4 linked regions of the Saccharomyces cerevisiae S288C genome follow. Changing the gene in region 1 together with any one later gene gives a genetic interaction. Each region holds a gene or a part of one and is shown in the gene's direction. Other genes may lie near its edges. The genes, in order: RCK1, CAT5, MBA1 and KCH1.

Region 1 (4,048 bases):
GCTTATACTACATATTGTTGTACACCATGGGTACCGTTAAATGACAGTGTAAACAATTGCAGAAGGAAATGTTACACTAGCGGTTAAACAATACTGAATTAAAGATTTTTTAGTTGAATATGATATGACAGTTATATACGTGAGCAATATAAGTCCCCACATTGAGTGTATGATAACTACCGGAATTACTATCATATTGTTCGTAAGCAATAATAAATCAATTAGTGTGGGTGTTTTATACCTCTCTCATATGAGTATATAAAGATCCTTATTTAATTTTGATTATACTATCTTCTAGCCTTCAATTATCGACATCGCTCACTTGAGCAGTTCATCTAAGAAAAAAAGAACTATAGCTAAATAACCCAGTATTATTTGTTTCGCTGTAGGTTGTTGCACAAGGGTTTCTTCTGTGAACATTTTGAATTGTACGCTTAAGATGATAATACCTAACTGATTCCAACCTATATTAGTAGAACCGAAACATACAAATAAGTGGTTGTTTGGCCGAGCGGTCTAAGGCGCCTGATTCAAGCAATATCTTGACCGCAGTTAACTGTGGGAATACTCAGGTATCGTAAGATGCAAGAGTTCGAATCTCTTAGCAACCATTATTTTTTATCTTTTTGGTTCTGTGATCAAGCTACCCGCGTTTGAAGCCGACTAAAGACGAGAAAAATTAGACCTTCATTTTTGCCTGTTTGCTGCATGTAAAAGAATGTTGGTTGAACATGTCGTTTAAGAGAAGAAATCGGGTACGGCGCTCTGGCTTTTAAAATTGAAGAAATTGGTGTTCTTCCGGTTAATACTTTGAACTCGGCTTTTCTTAACATGTAATAAAGTTTGTTACATCTCCCATAATTAAGTTTCTGGAACACGCATTGTTCTATTTTTAGACGGGAGACCAGAACTTCCTGATATATGACCGCTTTTTAGTGACTACGTATACTTTCTTTCTGCAATTACGTGTAAGAAAAAATTGATTTTTTATTTTTAAATTCACGGAATTTCAGACTGTGAAAACTTTGTAGTTCCAACTCACTTTGCTATGCAAGAAAATAATGAGGGGAAACAAAAAAAAAATGAGAGCGGAGAAAAGAACAATGCAGCTCAAGTATGAAGAAGAAAGTCACAGCAACGGAAATAAAAATCAAAATTGCGAAAATTGACAATCTTGACAATCGAAGCGGAAAAACAATGGAAGGTCCAGATACCTGTTGACCTTAAAAATGCAGAAAAATCGCCTTTATACGGCGACATTGTGAAAAATGACGTTAAAATCTTGTACATAAAAAAAGGGAATTACAAACTTGTAGTGTTTTTTTTTTTTAGGGGACTTGCATGAAAGTTAAATTTTATAGAAGTAATTAAATAGTCGATTTCCTTTCCTGTGTGTGACGAATCTAGATTTTTTTCATGTAAGAGACCCCGCCCTGCGGAGAGGGGCAAACAATTCTAGCAGAAAAAAATCAGTGGAAAAAAAAAAGAAATTCCGGATATGATAGAATATTTCTTCGAGAAACCTTTTGGATGAGGAGTGCCCTTCCATGAAGAAATTCTTCCTGCATCAGCACCTTCCCGGCAAGGCATTTCATTTTTTTTTTCCGAGAAGAAGATTTTTAAGTGGGCTACCCCACGCTTTCGGTGCCTATGGTAGCTGCATGATCACACAATGCACTCCCATTAAGAGTTTGTGAAGTGCATGAGATTGACATCTCGGCGTCCCTTAGTTTCCTGTCGGATTTTCAGTTATATGGAGTGGGTGAAGTCATTATCCGAATATTCGCGGATCATTGACGTATAAATACTTCATACTACTTCATACCAGATATTTCCTACATGTTGAAAGTCAATTGAAAAAAATAAATCATCACTTAACTCTTTTCCAGTGACACATCGCAAAGATTACTCAAATAATCTTCCTAAAACAATACTACCAGCATCTATTTCATGCAGCACCAAGCACAGAGGCTACATATCATATAAAATAAGTCATCATAGAGAAAAAAATGTCAGTAAACCCAGAATTTATAGCCGATGGCATCGATTTTTATCCAACAACGCCCGATGCCGCGTATTTCAATGCCGCTGATGGTAAAAATAAAGTTAACAGGATAAATGGTAACTCAGAAAATTTACACCACTCCTTTGCATCGGGTTGCCGTAGATCATCTCTTTCAGTCGACTTTAATGTTACCTCGTCCGATTCAGAAAAAAGTGAACAGAGCTGCTTGGAAAACAACTCTCAAGAAGACGAATATTTTTGTGACATTTTTTCCACTGAATTAAAATTAGATGAAACTTCTAACAAGTCAACCGATTATTCCAGTTCAAATCACCAGTATCCTGAACAACTGGAGTTGCACAATTATAAACTGCTCAATAAAATTGGTGAAGGGGCATTTTCCAGAGTATTTAAAGCAGTAGGCATCAACACGGATGACCAAGCTCCTGTTGCCATCAAAGCAATCATAAAGAAAGGCATTTCGAGCGATGCCATCTTAAAAGGGAATGATAGAATCCAAGGTTCCAGCAGAAAGAAAGTCTTAAACGAAGTTGCCATCCACAAACTGGTTTCGAAAAATAATCCGCATTGTACAAAATTTATCGCATTCCAGGAATCGGCGAACTACTATTACTTAGTGACGGAGTTAGTCACAGGTGGGGAAATATTTGATAGGATCGTCCAACTAACATGCTTTAGTGAAGACTTAGCTCGTCATGTCATTACTCAGGTAGCAATTGCAATTAAACATATGCACTACATGGGTATTGTGCATCGTGATGTCAAACCAGAAAACCTACTATTTGAACCTATCCCATTTTATGGCCTTGATGGGGACATGCAAAAAGAAGACGAGTTTACATTAGGTGTCGGCGGAGGCGGTATTGGTTTAGTGAAGCTAATGGACTTCGGACTAGCCAAGAAACTTCGGAACAATACCGCAAAAACTCCCTGCGGAACGATAGAATACGTCGCATCAGAAGTATTCACCTCCAAACGATATTCCATGAAAGTTGATATGTGGAGTATTGGCTGCGTACTATTCACGTTATTGTGTGGATATCCTCCGTTTTACGAAAAGAACGAAAAAACATTATTGAAGAAAATATCGAGAGGAGATTACGAATTCTTGGCGCCATGGTGGGACAACATAAGTTCTGGCGCTAAGAACGCAGTTACCCATCTTTTGGAGGTTGACCCAAACAAGAGATACGATATCGATGACTTCCTAAATGATCCTTGGTTAAATTCGTACGATTGTTTGAAGGATTCAAACTCAAATTCTTATGCCAGCGTGCAAAGCATACTAAATGATTCATTCGATGAGAGAGCAGAGACCCTACATTGTGCATTAAGCTGCCAATCTGAAAAACAAGATGACACCGAGTTTTCCAGAAGTGAAAGCTCGGAATACATATTTATGACGGAAGAAGACAGAAACCTACGGGGCAGTTGGATCGGTGAGCCAAAAGAGTGTTTTACCTTAGACCTTGCAACATCTTCTATATACCGAAGAAGGAAGAACAAGATATTCTTCTGGTAAACTCTTATCCAGTGGAAAACGCACCCAGCATATTCGAAAATATATCAACTGTCTCCCCTTTTTATACTAATAATTAATAGCATTCATATTGAAATAATAAAAAAGATACGTTTAATATTTACGCCAGCTCTCTAGTTACAGTTTCCTAACGCATACGTCATCAATTTGTTAAGATCGGCTTCGCTCTATAAAAATGTCGGCCGAAATTAGCATAGGATTTTCCGCGGTTCCGACCCCTATCCTAGAAACACGGAAAAACTTGCGAATAATTCCGGAATTTATTCTATGCAACTTTATGAAGACAAATTACTATAAATGAACCGCTCATTCAGAAAAACTATGTCTCGAGCTCAATGGATCTTACTACATAGTTTATAAAAACAGTAATTGTGCATTGTACAACTGTGCTAAACAGACTTAAAAAAGTAATAATTATGACTACTGATACCACTGTTTTCGTTTCTGGCGCAACCGGTTTCATTGCTCTACACATTATGAAC
Region 2 (3,386 bases), on another chromosome or scaffold:
CAGCTTAAACAGAATAAACCTCGCTTGGTTTTCGCGTACCGTAGGTCAGCAATATTTTCACCACATTTACAGCATTTAAAACAATCTGAACAATAGGCCTCATTTGAAGAGGACAGTATTATGGCCAAATCATCAATCTTTTTACCGCAATTTTTACAAGAATCGGAACAATCAAAGCAGATCAAAGCACCTGTTCCAAGGACTAAAAAATCAGATTCGCAGCTTAATGGTTTCTCACATTTGTAACAAGCGAAACAATGTGTGTGCCATCTATCACAACCCAACTCATATGCATGCCCCGTGGTAATAAATTCTTTGCATCGTACGCAGGATGGAAATTGTTCATTGGGAGCAGTTGATGCCATTTTAATATGCCGCTCTCTCCACCACTAGTACCTGAATCAGCTATCCTTGTCTTGTACAAAAAGCTATAATAGAGATAAATGTCAAAACCGTGGTGCTTTTCAGTTTCTTAAAAATTTTAGTGATACCGATCAATTTTTTTTTCTATTTTAAGCAACTGTGAATTGATCAAGAATGTTGACTGATCAAAACTCAAAACACCCTATTTGGCAAAGAAATTTAGTCTGTTTGAGCAGTCCTACCCTTGGAAAACGTTCAATGAATTAGCCAGTTGGCTGATACAATCTCATCAAAGGTCAATAGAGAAAAGCACACGTTAATTATATCAAATCTAAACTCGAGAACTGCCTTTTTTTTTTTTTCATTTTTCCTAATACGGCATAAAGCGCGCAATAATAAGGGCACTTTACACCTTCTCATCGTGGTAACACATACGAAACCAAGAACTAGCCTCTACATTATCATCTGTTCGTACGCTTAAACTGTGACCAAATATGGATTACGAGAAGTTTCTGTTATTTGGGGATTCCATTACTGAATTTGCTTTTAATACTAGGCCCATTGAAGATGGCAAAGATCAGTATGCTCTTGGAGCCGCATTAGTCAACGAATATACGAGAAAAATGGATATTCTTCAAAGAGGGTTCAAAGGGTACACTTCTAGATGGGCGTTGAAAATACTTCCTGAGATTTTAAAGCATGAATCCAATATTGTCATGGCCACAATATTTTTGGGTGCCAACGATGCATGCTCAGCAGGTCCCCAAAGTGTCCCCCTCCCCGAATTTATCGATAATATTCGTCAAATGGTATCTTTGATGAAGTCTTACCATATCCGTCCTATTATAATAGGACCGGGGCTAGTAGATAGAGAGAAGTGGGAAAAAGAAAAATCTGAAGAAATAGCTCTCGGATACTTCCGTACCAACGAGAACTTTGCCATTTATTCCGATGCCTTAGCAAAACTAGCCAATGAGGAAAAAGTTCCCTTCGTGGCTTTGAATAAGGCGTTTCAACAGGAAGGTGGTGATGCTTGGCAACAACTGCTAACAGATGGACTGCACTTTTCCGGAAAAGGGTACAAAATTTTTCATGACGAATTATTGAAGGTCATTGAGACATTCTACCCCCAATATCATCCCAAAAACATGCAGTACAAACTGAAAGATTGGAGAGATGTGCTAGATGATGGATCTAACATAATGTCTTGAATGCAGTAATCCTTTGTACGTACTCTGTCTATATTTCCCTAACTTTTAAGCAACTGTATAATTTTTCATATACGGGATTTTCAGGAAAAAAAACAATAGAAATCTATAAAACATGTTTCCTTATTTTTACAGACGAGAGTTTTATTCTTGTGAAAACGTCGTTATCTTCTCCTCCAAACCAATTCAAGGAATAAAGATATCACGTATACGGGAGAGATACATAGAAATTATGTTATCCCGTGTTTCAGTTTTCAAACCTGCCAGCAGAGGCTTTTCCGTCTTATCATCTTTAAAGATAACAGAACATACATCAGCAAAACACACCGAAAAACCTGAGCATGCTCCCAAGTGTCAGAATTTATCAGATGCTCAGGCTGCATTTTTGGACCGTGTTATTCGTGTAGATCAAGCTGGCGAATTAGGTGCAGACTACATCTACGCTGGCCAGTACTTCGTGTTGGCTCATAGGTACCCTCACTTGAAACCTGTGCTAAAGCACATATGGGACCAGGAGATACATCATCATAATACTTTTAACAATTTGCAATTGAAAAGGAGAGTCAGGCCTTCCTTATTAACGCCTTTGTGGAAGGCAGGAGCCTTTGCAATGGGGGCTGGTACCGCATTGATTTCTCCAGAAGCAGCTATGGCTTGTACTGAAGCTGTCGAGACAGTAATCGGAGGGCACTACAATGGCCAATTGCGAAACTTGGCCAATCAATTCAATTTAGAAAGAACAGATGGAACAAAGGGTCCAAGTGAGGAAATCAAATCCTTAACTTCTACTATCCAACAGTTCAGGGATGACGAGCTAGAGCATCTAGACACCGCTATCAAGCATGATTCGTATATGGCAGTTCCATATACAGTTATCACTGAAGGTATTAAAACGATTTGCAGAGTAGCTATATGGAGTGCCGAAAGAATTTAACCACCAGAAAGTGGCATACATCAGTCGCGTTATGCCAGAAAAGGAGAATTGAAAGGAAAACGGTTTGATAAATGTCCTAATTAAACTATCATGTATAAAATTATGTATCATCCTTACGCATTTTAACGCTATATGACCAATATGACAGGAATAGATACACTGTCTATAATTATGTAAATGGGGTATGGGTTCATAGTCTAAGGGTGAGTACAAACTGGATCTTTAACAAGAGTAACAGTTAATTAGAGCAAAACTATAGTACATATAGCTTGAAAAAAACAAGCGGCTTGCCATTGGAAGAACATTGCATAAAAACGGGGCCACTGCTAATAATAAAGTGGTAATTAAAAAGAAAGCTTTTGTTCAAGGTTAAGAAGGTATAAGGAAATGCCGAACGAAGATAATGAACTTCAAAAAGCAATTGAGAACCATCATAATCAACTACTAAACCAGGATAAAGAAAATGCTGACAGAAATGGGTCTGTTATAGAAGACCTCCCATTATACGGGACAAGTATAAACCAGCAGTCTACCCCTGGAGATGTTGACGATGGAAAACACTTACTGTATCCAGATATTGCCACCAACCTACCACTGAAGACTTCTGACAGACTTTTGGACGATATACTTTGCGATACTATTTTTCTCAATTCTACAGACCCGAAGGTCATGCAAAAGGGCCTGCAATCGAGGGGTATTTTAAAAGAGTCTATGCTTTCTTACTCAACTTTCAGAAGTAGTATTCGCCCTAACTGCTTGGGTTCATTAACTGATCAAGTGGTTTTTCAAACAAAATCCGAGTATGATTCCATTTCATGCCCAAAATATAATAAAATACATGTATTTCAGGCGGTCATCTTTAATCCATCACTGGCAGAACA
Region 3 (3,557 bases), on another chromosome or scaffold:
ACTCATTTCTACTTGACAAATTTGTTCTTGAACTTGCTATTGCTTCAACCTCATCTATCAAAAGGCATATAAAGATCCCTCGTCCCTCATTGACCTTTAAAAGCTCCTCAATGTCTTTGAATACTATTGATATATTTTTTGACGATTCTCCAAACCATTTAGAAAAGATGCGTGCACAAGACAATTCTATTATTATCCCCTTATAATTAGTATCAATGGTATCGGAACCGTCTGAAAATTCCCGCCTCACAGATAATTTTTGGCAAAGTGCTTTGCATAACGTTGTTTTACCTGTTCCCGGAGGACCATGGACAAGGAGTAATTTATTATTTGTGATTAGCGTTGTAATGTCTTCTTGATTGGAGTCTCCAGTTTGTTTGAATCTTGCTATCTTGAGAGATATAGTTGCGTAGCTATATAACCTTTCTTTAATATTGTTACCAAAATACAACGATTCCCATTGGCCCTCGAAAGTTGTGCCTGGAAGATATGATATATTTACTAAGTTTAGTGTTTGCTTACTTAGTGGAATGTCAAAATTTCCCACCGAATTGATACAATTGTTTAAAGTTTCTCCCTCAAAACCATCATCCTCGTCTAGTTCTAAGTCAATCTTGTCGAACTCTGTGGACAGTATGCTGCCATTTTTCAGCTCATCTTGCTCTTCCAGACAGCAAAAGGGATATATAATGAACTCGTCAACAGATCCCATGTGATAAGTGTCCGACTCGTTGGTCTCCTCTGAATCTAAAATAGAATCTATGTGCTGACCCAAATTTATTTTCTCATGAAAGTTCAATTTAATAGAGACGTGTGATGTGGACTGTTGCTCTATAGAAATTTTTTTAACGAATAAGGATAGAAACAAATTATCTTGTCCTTCATTTACTGTGTTAACTTTGCCATTTATGCTTGAAAACTGGTGTAATAAAACTTTTGCTAGGCTTCTAATCAAATGTTGTTGCGCCTCCGTTGGTGGATCCTTAATTTCAATACTTCCTTGCCCCTCTCTCATTAATTCTTGGCCAGTTATAATCGAAGTCTTTAAACGGTCTTTTGGGAAACTTTCCAACTTCCTCTTGACCACTGCTTTTAACAGATTCAAAAATTCTCCCAGCTTTTTGTTGCTGTTTTGTTTCGAGTCAGAACCAGAATGTAGAGAAGAAATTTGCTCATCCTCTCTAAACATACATTTGATAACCCTCAGAGATGATCCTCGCACTTGTAGGTCAACTATGTAGCTCATATCCTTATTTTATGTCTTCAGTTTGAGATCAGAATATTTTTATGAAAATGTTGTCACTCTCTTTTAACCGCCTCGCATTTCGTAGATTTGCCGCCCACCTTATTGTCAACGGCAAATCTAAGGATATATATACATATATATATATTTTTGAGAAAGATTATATTTTCGCCAACGATGAAAAAGAGAAAAGTACAGTACTATGTATTATGTGTTTTTCAACTCAAGAGAGGGGCAAACATATAACTGGTGCTATATATGATTAAGGCTGCGCTCAAATATACTTCTTACTTAATTGACTGAACAATACGTTGATAAGATGAAGGAAGAGTCTCAGATATTGGTTTCACAAAAAATTCAGAGAATGGAGTCATTTCGGTTACGGGCAATCTTTCGGTGATTGGTACGGAGTATCGCGATCTTTACACGTTCCACTAGTCAATCCAATCCAATTTATTCATTTGTCCGTAAATATTCTGCCGGCCTTCTCCCCATATTACAAAATAAAAAAATAAAACCTGAGTAATGGAATAGTTGGAAAAGCAAGGCAAATTTCCATCAGAAAGCAAGCCTATCCATTCAGCTAAGCTTATGAGATGAGTGTATTAAGATCTACATGCCTTTTCTTCCCTCCAAGATCCTTGTTGATATCATTTAACAAGCGGCGATTATTTTCAACTTCGAGGTTAATTTTGAATAAAGAAAGTGAAACTACAAAGAAGAAAGATAAAAGTAAGCAGCAAGATTTTAATCCTCGGCACCTGGGTGTTGCTGCCGAAATATTTATCCCCTCGGCTTACAAGAACCTTCCAAATGTATTTGCTCATCCTCTCATTGTTGCAAATGCATTGATCAGAAGACTTTACACGTTTGGTTTGAACTCTGTTCAAGTCGCATTGTTTCGTTTTCAATCAGGCATTAAACCTTCTTTTTTACTCTGGAAAAACAAAGCCATAGAGACGTATATCAATGTAAACACGTCATTTGCTCATAAAAATTTGTCGGACATCAAAGGGTTAGTTTCATTATGGGTTCAGGAAGCTCTCGAGGCTAGGTCCCGTCAACTTCCAGGTAATGCAACACTGGACTGGCAGTTGATAAAGTTTAATGCAGTTCCTAAACTAGTCTCAGTGCAACCAATCATGATTCCCGGAATGCCGTTAGAGCATTTACAGTTGGTTTACAAATTTGATACGAAGCAAAGACTAATTAAAGTCAATCAGCAAACTAAGAAGACTGAGACGTTAGACCGTGACGTTGTAGACTATATTGCCTTTTTGTGTGATGCTACAACTAATGATATGATTTTAATGGGATCTTTGTTTGAAAGTAAACCAAATGATAAATTACCGAAAAGCTACGAGGACGATGCTAAAGTTGCCATACACAGAATGAAAGTTAACGGTGATATATATCGTTTACCTCCAAGCTAAGGCAATATGTATATAAATGCGAAAAGTTTTGGAACATCTGTAAATAGCCATTGCTTCATTTGAGTTTCTTATTCCACATACCACTTACATATTCAGTAAAAACTATTCATTTGTTTTTCATTCTGAAGTATATATATTAAATTTATTAAATAGTTTTTCATGAAAAAAGTTATTGAAGCATCTCCCTTTCAATAGTGCATTAACTCTCCCATTCTAACCCATCTTTCCGTTGAATCGTCATAGAACAATGTTTCTGACAGATTGGTTTTCCTATAACGATCTTTGCAGCACAATCTGTGAAATAATTTCCATAAGCCGGTAAGAATAGTCCTGTTATAGCTGATACTACCTTGTACATAATTCATATCACTGAGCTTTGCTTCATCTTTTAGAGGCTGAGACTTCTCAAAACCTTCTGCGCTATCCAAACGATAGGTGCTGATTTCTTTTAATGCCAATGAATTATTAGAACACTTCCTACATTTAAGAACAACCTCTTCCTCGGACCTTCTCTTTCTATTTTCTGTATCAAAAGAACTGTCTTTTTCAATTGCTGCTGTGTTGTGAGGAATAGATCGATAAAGTACTTTTTTTTGCCCTGTTCGAATAACAAAAAGAAATAATGTCAATTCATTTGCACTGTAACAGTAATCAGCGCTAAAACCCTTAGGATGATATCGATGATTTGAAAGTATAATTGTGAAGCCACTATATATATCACGCAGTAGCGTAAACTGTGCTGCTTCGGACTTCAAAAGTTGAATAGCGTATCGTGTGCATTCCCAAATATTATCGACAACGTTTGGATAGAGAATAAAGGATGTGTATACGGTTATTTCATGATGGGGTAGAAAACTGAGTGTAGAAGAAATATTTGCAAT
Region 4 (4,341 bases), on another chromosome or scaffold:
GTAAAGAAAAAAGTTCGAAAACTTTTGTAGCAGTTGAAAGTTTTGTATGCTATGTCAATTAGGCCTCTCACGTTAAACGGTTTAGATGAGCCAGAAACCTCTTTTGAAGAACTGAATACAACTCTACCTCGCTTTCAATCCCATGAAACATTAACTTTGGAAGAAAACGTGCCACCATTGAGTACATCAACTTATATACCGCCTCCATCCTCGGTAGGTACTTCTGACACTGGCACGGTATTTTCCAATAGTACCAGCGCGTTTTGGTCTAATAAGCAAGCAGACGATGATCAGGACATGGAGGTAGACCAGGATGATGAATTTCTAAATGACTTCCAGGAATTCCAAAATAAAAAGGATGATTTTGACGATGCTATTAAAACAAATTTTCATTTGAGAAATGGATGTCGAACTGGCCCTTTCAAAAACGACATTTTCGCAGAAGAGTTTGATAGAAAACTGAGTTTGGAAGATAAACCAAGGCTAAAGCAACCTAGATCAATGATGGAATTGAAACCAAAAAGAAAACTATCAAATAGCGTCACTTCAAGAAACTTAAGGTCTGGTAATTCTGTAAGATTTAAGAAATCTATGCCTAACTTAGCTTTAGTTAATCCAGCTATCAGAGAAGAAGAAGAGGACGAAGAACGAGAAAGAGAAGATCAACGAGAGTTTAATTACAAGATTGATAACGATACGCAGGACACAATTTTGGCGAAATTCAGTTCAGATGATGAAGGTGACTTTCTGACAGGATTTGAAGAATTAGAGGGTGAAGCAATTGATGAAACGATTTCTTCGAACGATAAAGAAAGTGCCGACCATCCGCGTTTCTTAAAGAAGTCATCCTCATCTTTGCCATTAAAAATATCACCTGCACAATATGATATAGTAAAGCATGACGAATTATTAACTCCAGGTCTTCATAGGCGACAACGAGATTGGAATACCCAGCAGGAACTGGACTCTTTTAAAGAAAAACGATCAGTAAGACACTGTTCTAATCAAAATGTACAACTCAATGGTCCAGCTAAAATCAAAACAATAAAACAGCAAATTGATCATAATACTCCAATGAAGAAAGGTTCTATGATATATAACCCGAAAACTATGAAGTGGGAAGGAAATGAAAACGTCTTAAGCAAATTTAGTGATGTAGACACGGCAAACAGGAAAGCTTTATTGATAAAAAACAAGCTACAACGAGATGCAGATTCTAAGAAGCAAAAATATTCTGATCTACAGCATGCAAGAGCCACTTCGAGAAATCAAAAGGTCATCGGGAACATGATTTTAGATGAACAAAATTTAAGATGGGTTAGTGTTTCAGAGGAAGAAGCAGACCCTTTTGCAGGCATTCCTGAGATAAACTTACCACCAGTTGGCAAAAGTATGAAAAAACGTAGCTCCTCACCATTTTTGCGTTCCAAAAGCCAAGTTAATACGCCATTTGTTTCAAATGACAATGATGGCGTTTATCAAAGTACGGCTGCTCAAGCAAGACTCCGTAAATACCATTCAATGAGGACACTTAACGGTACAACAGAAACTCCAGAAATAAGCTCTACTTTCCATTTGAGTTCAAGAGCATTGGAAAAATTTTACCACGAGGAGAACAGGTGGTGTAAAAAGTTAGCCTCATGGTTTATACCCCGAGATGAGACCATTATCAGTGTTGATGAGGAAACAATCATGGATGAAAGTACGGTCAATAGCAAGAGAAAATCCTATATGTATGAAATCAGGAACATGGTAATCAATTCGACAAAAGATTAGCCCTTTAGCCTTCTTATAACTGTTTCTTTACCGTTATCTTGAGTACATTCATTTCTCTTACATTCCAAAATTAGATAGAACCTTGAATCGTGTCAACTTTTCGCCGACATTTCGCGTCTGACAGAAAAAGAAATGTTGCAGAAAATTCGAATAGATGTTTCAAATGAAAATAGACCATGAGGGACACATTAACATTTCAAACAAAAGAGCCCTTGATGATTATTAAAACAGATCTTTATGGTTTGTTTAGCAAACACTTTGGTAATTTCATGAATATTTGACTAGCAGGAACAGAAAATCAAAAATGTTTAACCATGATTGGAAGTACTCCATTAATTCTAAGACTTTCGCCGATTTAAACATTGAATTATTTCGAAACCACAAGTTCAAAACTGTTTTAAATTACATAATAGGTGTAGTTGGGTGGAATGGATTAAAACTCGCCCTTTTTGTTTCTGACATTTACACATGTATCAAATTGCTGGCATTCAACTCCTGGTCAAACAACATCATCAAACCATACTTACCCTTTAAAATATCCAAATGGTTGTTTAGCGGTTGTATTTTAGCATCGATTGTGCTATTGATATGGGAGGCTATAGCGGGAATGAGGATTTACAAAACGGGAAATATCTCTTTGACTTATGTCAACAATTTTTCCAGAAACCTAAATTCAGTGCTCAATTATTCCAAGTTTTGTGTTTATAATATGATCGAACGAAAGGGTTTTCGACAGAAAATGACATTTTTTACTTTTTTTCAACTGAAAGATTGTATTAGATTAATCTTCACGGATACCCCAAGGCAAGTTATTAATGGTCTTACGCTGTGGTCAGTTCTCGTAACAGTAAATAAAAACGAGGATCTAGGCGATCTGGAATCATTTACCGGTTTGATCAACAAAATAAAGAACATTGGCCAGACCAATCATGAAGAAGCAGTGATATTGTCGCTGATGCTATTTTCCTTTATAATCTGGGCATTATTTGTCTTCAAGTTTCTGCTTGCTGTCATTTGCTCGATTTTTGTTTATTATAAAATAATCAATGATCAGGAATATAGCGGGTTGCGTGAGTACATTTGTGTTACCGTCAGCGAAAATGTTGATGAACTTGTTGAAAGACAAAGGAAAAAGGAAAATGATGACACGATTTATAAGACAGGTCTTCTCGAATCTCAGACTTTTGACGATTTTAAAGAAGTTGAAAATAAAATTGAAACATCTTTTAATGATACGTCATATGCTTCTAATAATGATTCTATGATTGAGCTAATAGAGAGAAGACCCGAATACAAAAGTCAGGATGTATGTGGGCCCATTCCCACAATGAAGAAAACGGAAACAATGGAATCGTTCGTTGACAATGGCAATCCACAATATACCACTAGATTCTCTGCGATTCTAGATTCACCATATATCAACAGCTATGAAAGTAATGATATAAAGAAAGCAAAAATACAAAGCAGAAGCGTAAATACTCCAAAATATGAGGATTTGTCTTCTTCTGACATTTTCAACAAAATACACTCTGCTGGACAATTAAAATCTACAACTTCTATGGAGTTTCACGGGCCATTAGATTCTATGCCAAATACAACAAACAACATCCGTAATTTTAATAGCAACAGTAGTAGACCTAGACCACCTCCTTTACAGACAAAAAGTTCGATTAATTCAAAAGCTGACTCGAATGATAATGGAAGGATTTATACACCAATGAAAGCGTACTTCAGGGAGCCTGATCTTCCGAGGAAGGGTTTGCTGGAAGATGAAGATCGTACATATAATTATACTTAATAGGCTGGCAAAAGCCCTTTGCATATTTCATGAATTAGATAGACGTGATTAGAAACAGCCGTTAGTATGTTTCTGATAAAAATAATACTTTTTTTGTAACACTATTTTCATATATTGGATTGATACCGGTTATAGCACAAACATAACAGCCATGAAAGTTTCTTTGAAAACCCCTTTTAACATTTGCTTGTAAGAGATAGGTTAATTTTTTATAGTTGCTGAGATTCCATTGTTGGTAAAGACTTAATATTAGGTATACAGAATATACTAGGAGTTCTCTCTGGGTATGTAGGAATCCACAAAAGGGTGTCACTAGTTCAACATAATAACATCTTTTTTTTATTCCTTCTTTGATATTTTGTCATATTATCCTATTATTTTATCAATCCTTGCATTTCAGCTTCCAATAGATTTGATATTTGTTTCTCAATATTATGTCATCTTCATACACAGTATGTGATAATATACTAGTAACATGAATACTACTAAATGAGTACTACCTTAGGGGTTCATTACAGCAGCTTAAGCGAAAGTAGAAAATGAGGCGGATATTTGTTGGAATAAAAATCAACTATCATCTACTAACTAGTATTTACGTTACTAGTATATTATCATATACGGTGTTAGAAGATGACGCAAATGATGAGAAATAGTCATCTAAATTAGTGGAAGCTGAAACGCAAGGATTGATAATGTAATAGGATCAATGAATATTAACATATAAAATGATGATAATAATATTTATAGAATTGTGTAGAATTGCAGAT

What was found.
Region 2: mutations in RCK1 (region 1) and CAT5 together harm fitness more than expected from each alone (negative genetic interaction), as found in Saccharomyces cerevisiae (2 studies listed by BioGRID).
Region 3: mutations in RCK1 (region 1) and MBA1 together harm fitness more than expected from each alone (negative genetic interaction), as found in Saccharomyces cerevisiae (3 studies listed by BioGRID).
Region 4: mutations in RCK1 (region 1) and KCH1 together harm fitness more than expected from each alone (negative genetic interaction), as found in Saccharomyces cerevisiae (2 studies listed by BioGRID).

What each region holds. Positions count from the first base shown.
Region 1 is NC_001139.9:205,024-209,071, forward strand, and holds RCK1 (putative serine/threonine protein kinase RCK1), read left to right. Parts: upstream 1-2,009; coding exon 2,010-3,548; downstream 3,549-4,048. Other genes in the region: carbonyl reductase (NADPH-dependent) ARI1, read left to right, coding at 3,983-4,048.
Region 2 is NC_001147.6:558,149-561,534, reverse strand, and holds CAT5 (putative monooxygenase CAT5), read left to right. Parts: upstream 1-1,803; coding exon 1,804-2,505; downstream 2,506-3,386. Other genes in the region: GTPase-activating protein RGA1, read right to left, coding at 1-365; IAH1 (isoamyl acetate-hydrolyzing esterase), read left to right, coding at 858-1,574; ubiquitin-specific protease UBP2, read left to right, coding at 2,893-3,386. UniProt on the Saccharomyces cerevisiae protein: Catalyzes the hydroxylation of 2-hexaprenyl-3-methyl-6-methoxy-1,4-benzoquinol (DMQH2) during ubiquinone biosynthesis.
Region 3 is NC_001134.8:598,242-601,798, reverse strand, and holds MBA1 (Mba1p), read left to right. Parts: upstream 1-1,839; coding exon 1,840-2,676; downstream 2,677-3,557. Other genes in the region: PCH2 (Pch2p), read right to left, coding at 1-1,246; YBR184W (uncharacterized protein), read right to left, coding at 2,865-3,557. UniProt on the Saccharomyces cerevisiae protein: Mitochondrial inner membrane-associated mitoribosome receptor that spatially aligns the mitoribosome exit tunnel with the membrane insertion machinery and allows cotranslational protein membrane insertion.
Region 4 is NC_001142.9:533,976-538,316, forward strand, and holds KCH1 (Kch1p), read left to right. Parts: upstream 1-2,080; coding exon 2,081-3,574; downstream 3,575-4,341. Other genes in the region: BFA1 (Bfa1p), read left to right, coding at 52-1,776. UniProt on the Saccharomyces cerevisiae protein: Low affinity potassium transporter that, with PRM6/KCH2, participates in high-affinity Ca(2+) influx system (HACS) activation during the response to mating pheromone. Directly promotes K(+) influx and HACS may electrochemically respond to this K(+) influx.